3 linked regions of the Cricetulus griseus genome follow. The protein of the gene in region 2 interacts with the protein of the main gene of each other region in a biochemical or structural test. Links are inferred from orthologs where the notes say so. Each region holds a gene or a part of one and is shown on either strand. Other genes may lie near its edges.

Region 1 (3,656 bases), on a different chromosome or scaffold from region 2:
CTATATAGAGAGTTCCAGGACAGCCAGGGCTACATAGTGTGACCCTATCTCAAAAAACAACATAAAATAACAACAACTAGTCCATGGCAAAAATAGAATAGACATCAATTCTATCATATTCAATTCCTGTCTCCTTCCTCCTTGACTTGTACTCCATAGCTAAATGAAGCCTTGTTTTCACCGTGAGTAATCAGGCTTAGTGATTCAATCTCTCAAACAAATTATTTCTGATTTAACTCAGTAATTCTCCCCACCAGGAATATAACTAAATGAAAGGACAGCCTGAGATTTAACATCACTTAACTAACATCTTTTATATTTATGGAAAGCTAGCAAGTTTATATTTATTAATACAATGAGCCCAAAAATCCAAGCTGCGATAGATTTCTTCTGACAGTAAGGTTCAAGATCAAAAAATAGTAGCCACTTAGCTAAGTCTCTGGCTTTTCTTTTCCTTTTTTGAGGCATTCTCTCACTCTCTACCCCAACCTGGCTTTGAACTCACAGCAATCCTCCTGCCTCAGCTGCCCAAGTACTACGTTTGCAGGCAGGTACTATTACATCCAGTCTAGCTTCTGACTTGAGACTAAATACTGTGAAGTTTCCCAATATTTTTCAACATCACTTCAAATCCAACAAGTCAGAGAGAATTGTTAATATAGTGCTACCATGTGAAATAGTGACTCTGCTTTCTCTTCACATCATATAAATCTTTTCGCCTTTTACCATGTGCAATAATGTTACCATGTGCAAAAACTGTATCTGAGCTCTCTGGAGACTGAGAAAAAGGAAAATTTACCTCGAGCAGGACTAGTTCTTTTAGGGAAATCCACTGTATCATTTGCTGGATCCTCTGTGGGCTTTTTCCCTATAAAAATGGGAGAAGGGTAGAGAGAATTCAGTAAAGAATTTTTAAAAGAAGGAAAGATTTCACCTCAGTTTTTCATCCTTCAGTCAGAATTTTCAGATCAGAGATGCAGCATCAAAAGAGGCAAAAGAAGGAAACCCCACACATACCTGTCCAAATAGGGTGGTGCAGAACAAGGACCAAAATCAGGCAATAGATTGTTACAAAAAGGATAACCACTCTTGCTACTAAGAAAGAGTTCTTATAATGGAGACTGCTATCCAGAAACAGCAGGTCAAAACCATAACCCAGAAGAGCTAAAACTTATTTCAATGCTTTTCCTCAACTAAAATTTTCCTACATGCATCCACAGGGAAGGGTTAGACAAGGAAATATTAGGGAAGGTAAAAACCAAAACATGCAAATTAGAAGGAGATAAGCGCCTTAAAAGATTGCACTCACCTCTGGAGAACCACTCATCTTCCAGTGCATCACCAAGGTGGAAAGCGAGGAGAGAAATGAAGGAAGAAAACGCAGGAGAAAGATGTCAACAGGATCATGGGCAAGTACACAAGAAAGCAGAGGAACAGGAGGAATAGGGAGGAAGGCCCCAGATTAGTTGAGTTCTTGTCTTTCAATACCCCATTTGCCAATACACTAACAACCATCACCACCATCACCATCACCACCGTCAAAGCATCCAGAACAAGGGGAGCAGCAGCAGAGCAAAAAAGGACAAGTCTCCACCAGGTAGACTTCCCGACTATTTGTAAGTCCTAAAAAGCTAAGTGGTCCCTCCCTGTCCCCCACATTAAAGAACAGGAACTAAGACTTACCTTTGCCCTTCTTGGCCCCAAAGCAACTGGCAGCATGTGGCCCAGTACTATTAGCCACACTGGGAAGTGCCTCTTGGTAGCGTTCAGCCTGTGGGATTTCTCGATGAACTTGATATGATAAGTTCCGAAGGAGGCAAACACAGTTCTCCACAAGCTTAGGGACACAAAACAAAAGGCCCAATTGGAAAAGACAATGTTTGTGGTGATTTCCAGGAAATCCTGTCTCCATAATTTGAATATTAAAGTATCAACCCTAAAATGCATAATTCAATCCATCTTCTCTCAGGTTGCTTTCTCAGTGCCCTAGGCTCCTCAAAATCCTTGTTATCTTCATGCTAACAGAAGAACTAACTACAGACATATAATGGCTTCTGAAACTATTTAATGATGTGACATTTAGGTCATTGTTTTCCCTACTTAGAAAACGTATAACCTAGGAAGCTACTGAGCAGCTTTAATATATATGGGAGAAGGAGAAGGGGTAAAGTCATTCACAGCACCTGCTGCACAACAAGCCAGGCATGATCTTGAATGTACCAATGTACCTGTAAACCCAGTGCTATAGGAACAGAGACGGGATTGCTGAAGTATATTTATTGCTAGTCTAGCCAAAGAATACAACCTCAAGGTGAGACCTTGCCTAAAACGAATAGGGTGAAGAGTACCTGAGTGACAAAGGACACCAATGTTTTCCTGGCCTGTGCTCTTGTGCACTTGCACTGAAGTACACATACACACACACACACACACACACACACACACACACACACACACACACACACACACAAAATACAGACACTTTGCTTCTTCTAAACTCAATGCCCATTTTAAGGAGAAGGGGTTGGTATTTTATATTATCTGATAGCCTGAAGTGGAAGATCTGAACCACGGTTACCTTGTTAACAAAATTCACTCAGTCATTAACTTACCTTGCTGTCTGAATCCTTCTGTCCAATTTCTGCCTGAACAATGAAAATGAGGGCATCAACTAAGCCATCACATTCCCGAAGTTTCCGGCGAGCTTCACTCCTCTCTGAGCTTACATTTCTAAGGGAAAACACAAAGTTCTGAAGATGACTCAAGTCCCTGATGCCCTCTTTGATATCTTTCTTCATCTACATCTAAAGCTTCCTTAAAACCTTTTCTATTCATTACAAATAAACAGTTCATACCTATTAAAAGCAAGGCATTACAGTTGGAAACTGACTGATTGTCTTCTAAACTTTTCATTAGCTTGTGGAATCAGGCTGAAAATGTATACCAGGGGCTGGAATGGGGAGACAATCCCAATAACCAGCACAACATGGTAGTTCAAGCCCCAGAAGACCTGACACCCTCTTCAGGCCTCCTCAGGCACCAGATACACATGTGGTACACAGAAAAATATGCAGACGAGACACCCATACACATAATAAGTATGTTTTAAAATGTATACCACAGCTCAAAATGGTAGTCCACACTTGCAATGCTAGCACTTGGGAGGCAGCAGCAGGAAGATCAAGAGTTTGAGGCCAGAGTGGACTTATTAGAAAGCAAAACCCTATCCACTACCTCCACCACCACACCCAAGCATATGTGCACTGCAGGCGTGAGCCCATGTGCATTCCTGTGCGAATGAACATCAGCAGTAGAGATATAGCTAAGTGGTAGAGAGCTCACCCAAGCATATACAAGGCAATAGGTCCAAATACCCAGCACCACAAAATGGTGGTTTGTGAGAGGGCATACCAACATCAATGAATTCAGACGGAAGCATCATTTATTTTACAGAAGTACAAATATAGGGAATGATAAGGTGCCTGATTTGAAATATGGATAACTGAGACAGCAACTAACACACACACACAAGTCCAGAACCAGATAAGAACCTTGTATGTGGGAGGTTCTAAGCAGGTATTTACTTAACTAGAAGAATAAAGTCAAAGAGGAATAAAAGTGACGAGAATGGGAGGAGGAAGGAAGGGAATAAACAC
Region 2 (3,756 bases):
AAGATGCAAAACTTTAAGTCTAATTGTGGGGGGAAGGGTACCAGATACTGCTGTTTCAGAGAGTCATCCCCATAATACTGCTATGGAGCACAGAACCCTATAATCTCAGTGGTACACAAGAAGTCAGGTGTCTTCCCTCAGACACTCTTGTGTTCTCTGAAGTGTATGTTGCTTACATTGAAGCTTACAAAATCTGTAAATCAGTGAAAATTCAACTAATCCAAGCAGAGTTTTGCTGAAAGACCCTAAGCCACCCTTGTGTCCAGTCTGCTGCACAGGAGCCTAATCTGGGTTCCAGTAGGCATGCATCACTTGCTATCTTGTTACCTGAAGCCCCTCACCTGACAGAGTCTATTGTTAACAGGCCAGATACTACTTGCATCAGCTATGGTGGGGGAGGACTGAGTAAAATTTGCCAAGTAATAACCCCATAGTCATGTCCTGTAAAATGAGTAAGACATAACAGTTTGCACTCATAGAATCCCCTAGTGCTCTCTCTCTTTTTTTTTTTTTTTTTCAGTGTCAGTTAGGAGACGCTTAATTTGGAAACTGCCATTTCATATGCTTTTGGGCACACATTGGCCAATACCACACAGTAGGTAGTTTTAGCTTTGTCCAATGGCACAGTCTGTGATTCCATGAAGCAGACAAGCCCCGCCTATGCACCTACTGCTTTTTCACTTGTCAGCATGTTTCTGCTCTTCTCTCTAGGATTATGATTTGAGCCAGTTGCACAGGGGCCTGGATGCTCGACCTGAAGTGACTCGAAATGATGTTGCTCCCACTCTCCTGAGTGTGCCCCAGTATCGTCCCCGCCCAGCTAATCCTGATGAAATTGGGAACTTCATCGATGAAGTAAGTAGGCATCTCTTAACTTGGGAACTAAGGAGAAAAACATTCCAATGAGGAGAACCTTCGAATTCTTGCCTTATGGTGTCTATTTGTCCAGATCCTTGAGACAAAACCAAGATCTACTTGCAAAGCTTGAGTAGACTTAGTTTGATTTCATGAATGAGTCCCCTACATTCATTACAGCTGCTTGGGATAACATCTTGGGGAGCCTGGGGCAATAGCATCTTTTGAGCAAGACTGAGGACCAGAGTTTGGATCTGAAGCACCAACATAAATGCTGCGTGGGCATGGCAGCCTCCTTTTATTCTAGTGTCCAGGTTAGATCATCCAGAATCAGCAAGCTGTAGGTTCAGTTGTCTCAGGGAATACAGTGAAGATGATGTTGATGTCCCTACAAAGATCTTGCTTGGGCCTTCACGTGCACATGTGCACACACATGTAAACACAATCACAGGACGTGCACAAATGTATCCCAGTTTACCTAAGGCCCATAAAAATAGCATCCATCATGTAACATATCCATATGTTATTGTACATGTAGGAAGTATGTTCAGCTCTAACCAAAAAGCTTAAGCAGACAGTAGGAGATGCACTTTGTGCCTATGGAAGGCTGGGCTCAGCAGTCTTCTCTGTTGGATATAGAGCCTTTCTGCTCCATTATCTTGGCATCTTAGTTACTTTTCTATTGCTGTGCTGAGACACCATGACCAAGGCAACTTACAGAAGAAAGAGTCTAATGTAGAGCTCCAGAGGGTTAGAGTCCATGACTATCATGGCAGGGGACATGGCAGCAGGCATGCTTGGCTGGAGCAGTAGCTGAGGGCTCATATTTTGATCCACAAGCTGGAGGCAGAAAGAGAGACAGAGACAAAGTGAGCTAATTGGAAATGCCTGGACTTTTAAAACCCCAAATCCTGTTCTTGGTGACACACTTCCTCCAACAAGGCCATACCTCCTACTCCTTCCAAACAGTTCTACCTGAGGACCAAGTATTCAAAGATGATATAACCCTAGCTGGCTTTGGACTCCCTATGTATACCAGGCTGGCTTTGAACTATGTAGCAGAGTGTCTTGGTTAGGGTTTCTATTGCTATAAAGAGATTAGAGATTTTTTTGGAGACAAGGTTTCTCTGTGTAACCCGGGTTGTCCCGAAACTTTCTTTGTAGATCAGGCTGGCTCTGACCTCACAGAGATCCTCCTCTGCTTCTTGAGTGCTGGGGATTAAAGGCGTGCTCCACCATGCCCAGCGCAAGGCAACTCTTAAAAGGGAAAACATTTAATTGGGGCTAGTTTTGAGTTCAGAGATTTAGGTAATCATGGCAGGTGTCACACAGGCAGACATGGTCCTGGAGAAGGAGCTGAGAGTTCTACATCTTGATCCTAAGGTAGCAGAAATAGTCTGTGTCCCACGTTGGGCATAGCTTGAGCATAGGAGACCTTAAAGCCTGTCCTACACAGTGACACACTTCCTCCAACAAGGTCACACCTACTCCAACAAAGCCACACCTGCTAATAGTGCCACTCCCTATGGGCCTATGGGGGCAATTTTCATTCAAACCACCACACAGAGGATGACTTTAAATTCCTGATCCTTCAATTTGCCTTTCAGGGTTAACATTTAGCAATGATAGTTTGGCGTCCATCCTTGAGGACCTTCTGGGCTGAACTGTTATCTCTATGGGCTAGTCTGATCACTCATTGTTTTTAGCCTCTGTCTATACTCATTGGTGATAGGAGGTCCTTACTCTCATTTCTGGGGACCCCCATCCTGACATGCAGCTAGCTGTCCATCTCTCCCTGCTGACGTCGTATAGCTTAACAACCCTGTTTAGGGAAAGCATCCTGTGGCTTGTTCTTCTGTGTTGAAGTGTATGCCTAACTGCTCACTGGTTGCCTTTTCATGTTTTGGGTGTTGCTTACCTCAGACACACAATAATAAATATGGTGCTCTTCCCTTTAGAATCTGAAGGCAGCCGACAGCGACCCCACAGCACCTCCTTACGACTCTCTGTTGGTGTTTGACTATGAGGGGAGCGGTTCCGAAGCTGCTAGCCTGAGCTCACTTAACTCCTCTGAGTCGGATCAGGACCAGGACTACGACTATCTGAACGAGTGGGGCAACCGCTTTAAGAAGCTGGCTGATATGTATGGTGGCGGCGAGGATGACTAGGGGACTAGAGAGGAGTCCCTGGGAGATGCAGAATAATGTTGCCTTTCAGATTCTTCCTTGAGTTTCTAAGAGAGAGACTTACCCAAGATGCAGTTTGCATCCCATTCTACCAGTCTACTGTGTGTTAGGTTGTCACCTATTCTCAAAATCGGTTTTTTATTTTTACAGTGCTAGGATTTAAACTCTTCCACTGAGTTATATAGGCTTAACCTCTCCTTCTTTATTTTTAATTTTTTAAAATTTTAATTCCCCCCCCCCCCCCCCGTGGATGAGGCTGAATCTGGGACTTTACAGTGTGAGATAAGCACTCTTGTTACTGAGCTGTAGCCCCAGTTCAAATCTTTTATTTCAAAATGGCAGTTTCAGTCTCAGAAGGCTCAGCTAGCACTGGAAGTTTTCCTTTATGTTCAAGAGGCAGGGGAGGGTGTCTGCCCTACTTCTGTGTCACTGTGTATAGGAAATGGTTTGTTTTTGTTTTTGAGCTAGGGATCTAGTCAAGTGTCGTGTCCCCAAGCCCTTCACCCCACACTAAGACTTTTAAATTGTGTACTTTCCCACAATTTCTACATTTGTGTTCTGTATTCTAATACGCACTTATGCTCCTGAATTCTGTTGCCCTGCCCAGGTGCTTTTCTATGATGCAGAAATGACTGGGTCCTTTTCTGGTAACAGACAGGTGTCTTGGTGTGGGTGCAACTGAACTGGATATTGTGTGTTTCAAAGACCTTTCACG
Region 3 (2,641 bases), on a different chromosome or scaffold from region 2:
ACTGCTTACCCATTCACCGTTGTCAAGAATTTTCAGTGCTAAGCAAAAAGCTCCAGCTGCAATCTGAGAAGGAGCAAAGTGCACCATGTCATAGTCCAACATAGTGAGCTCCATGAGGTATTTGGCCAAAGTATGCTGTTCAACGTCAACCTGAAACAGATCCACATACATACCACTGAGCGTCTTTTGCAGTTTTGCTTTTGCGCTAACTTACAAAGCCCGATCTGTGACTACAAACTCTCAAATACAATGGTCCACAGAAGGCTTTAAGAGTAACCATATAATATCCAACCTGATTAGAAATAATAACAGCCATATCCTTCTCCCATGTACTTATATATCTACCGTATTCTCTAATATAGCAAAATAAAAATTTCAAGTAATGTGTACCTCTCCAATCTTAGAGGCTCTACGGAGGAAGTGCAGAGGCAGAGGGCGACCCAAACTGAAGTTTAGAACTCTTAGAATCTTCATTTCCATCTGTCTGATTTGGTGCTTAGTGTAAGTATTATTAGTCACAAAAGCGAAGTCACCTATTTCTGGAGGGTACATTTCTTCATATTTGCTTGCAATAAACATGGCAGTCACACCAACTAGCTGCAGCATCTTCTTGGGTACACAGTTATCCTGCAATTGAAATGTCAATGAACATGTACTTGAACATCTCAACTGGTGGCACCTTATCTCCCTGTAAAGACAGATACCTGCCTACCATGTAATGGGACCCTGGGTTTGACTGTCAGTGTCCACTCCCCCCTCCTCCAAGAGTCTTCTAGAACCCGGGAATGAAGAACTCTCATTACTTAATTACACATACCTGCATGAACCGGTCAATAATGGAAACAGTCATGTACATAGTCTCTTGCAGCAGCCTAAATTTCATTTGAACCTGTATCAGCCAGTCAATTAGGATGGCTCTCATGTTTCCAGTGACTTCACGGCCCAGTAGATATCTTGGTCTAACTGATTGTTCTTCCTGCAAAAGAAAAATGTCATTTATCCTGGAAGCATCACTCTATACGCCATTTGTGACCACAAAGACCAATTAACTAATATAAAACAGCTCCATGGCAAAGCTTTATTAAGAAAGCAAGGATTAAAATAGCATGACAGGCTTTTCATATTAAGATATTGTGACATTCAATTAACCAGTGGAAAGCAGGCCCACACTTACACCTGTCATAATCTCAGATCAATATCGATTTTACTAATTTCACTTTGTGATATAGAAAAAATTAATCACTAAGTTATATATCAGCTAGAATTTAGCTGATCTTCCAGAGGTCCTGAGTTCAATTCCCAGCATGCTAGCTCAACCATCTATAATGAGATCTAGTGCCCTCTTCTGGCCTGCGGGCATACATGCAGGCAGAACACTATGTATATGTACAAATATAAAAAAGAGAGAATAAGGAATTAAGAACAACTATGTTTAACTACCAAATTCAGTTCTGCAGTTAGGATACAACAAAAAAAACCTTTTAGTATTGACAAGAATTACAAAGTAGACAGCAAGCTTGGACAGATAATCCTATTGAGGACTACTTTAGGAAATATAAATTACGTCAAAAGGAATGGCAGCAAAATGGTTGACTCTTAAGTCAATCCCACCCATTTAAAGGTGGAAGGAAAACCAATTCTTGAAAGTTGTCCTCTGAGCCCCCCATATGCACCCTGTCACAAAGGATAAGAGACTGAGTAAATGAGTGGTAACTGAAGCAGACAGCGCGCTGGAGATATAGTTCAGTGGTAAAGCACCTCTTAGCATGCACAAAGTGCTGTATTTTGTTCCTAGGATTGGAGGTGGCAAATCTGATAAAACTACATTAAAGAACTGTCTTGTTTAAAGAGGTGAAAGCGTTAATGTCCTTAATATCCAACTGGGCTAAGTTGACAAAACCAACCACTTCAATTTTTTGAGTGTGCTCCTTTTGGGCACAAGTAATAGTTTTCCTGCCAAGCACAAGCACACTGACCAAAAAAAAAAAAAAAATCAGAAAAAACCCTTGTGTTGGGACAGCTATAAGTTCTTTAGCATCTTTATCTACCTCCTCCTCCAACCACAAGTTTGGGACTTTCCCCATGTGTGATGTGTGTGTCTACTTTAGGAAGAGTCATAATAGTATCTCCCCAACACAGAAATTCTGTATTCAACGTGACAAATCCACCCCACGGAGTTAGTGACTTTATTTCCATTTCAAAACAGAATTTCAAGTGTTATCTATTGTCAAGAAATGTCAAATGTGCTGTTGATAAAAATCTTTAATTGCTGAGTTAGTGGTGCACAACTTTTTGAGACCAGCCTGGTCTACAGTCAGTTCCAGGACAGTCAGGGGTACACAGGGAAGCCTGGACTCATAAAAACCAAAAGAAAAACAGTTCCTTAATAAACCTAGCTGAATTCAGTAAAATCGTATTGTAACAACAATACTGACCTCCAGCTGTCTGAGATAAGCATATATGTCTTTCACATATTCACTACAGAGGTTTGGATCAGCGCCATCATCTGCATCCACATCGCTCACGGCAAGAATTACATCAGAGAAAGCCTGACACAGGTATTCTTCTGCAGGGGCACATCCAGATGTTTCCATTGGGCTTGGAGAGGGATTATCAACCTTAAAAAAGAGAGACCCCATCA

The links. The genes of interacting proteins can lie anywhere in the genome.
Region 1: the proteins of Cdh1 (region 2) and Ctnnd1 form a complex in vitro, tested with the Homo sapiens proteins (5 studies listed by BioGRID and IntAct, with this or other methods). The link is inferred for Cricetulus griseus from reciprocal best matches to the Homo sapiens genes CDH1 and CTNND1.
Region 3: of the proteins of Cdh1 (region 2) and Ccnb1, one has a biochemical effect on the other in vitro, tested with the Homo sapiens proteins (3 studies listed by BioGRID). The link is inferred for Cricetulus griseus from reciprocal best matches to the Homo sapiens genes CDH1 and CCNB1.

The regions. Positions count from the first base shown.
Region 1 is NC_048599.1:90,922,822-90,926,477, reverse strand, and holds part of Ctnnd1 (catenin delta-1), read right to left. Parts: intron 2,731-3,656; coding exon 2,613-2,730; intron 1,838-2,612; coding exon 1,684-1,837; intron 1,328-1,683; coding exon 1,310-1,327; intron 869-1,309; coding exon 800-868; intron 1-799. UniProt on the Homo sapiens protein: Key regulator of cell-cell adhesion that associates with and regulates the cell adhesion properties of both C-, E- and N-cadherins, being critical for their surface stability.
Region 2 is NC_048596.1:182,982,019-182,985,774, forward strand, and holds the end of Cdh1 (cadherin-1), read left to right. Parts: intron 1-711; coding exon 712-855; intron 856-2,813; coding exon 2,814-3,023; 3' UTR 3,024-3,225; downstream 3,226-3,756.
Region 3 is NC_048595.1:319,289,322-319,291,962, forward strand, and holds part of Ccnb1 (G2/mitotic-specific cyclin-B1), read right to left. Parts: intron 2,619-2,641; coding exon 2,436-2,618; intron 977-2,435; coding exon 818-976; intron 628-817; coding exon 391-627; intron 151-390; coding exon 10-150; intron 1-9. UniProt on the Homo sapiens protein: Essential for the control of the cell cycle at the G2/M (mitosis) transition.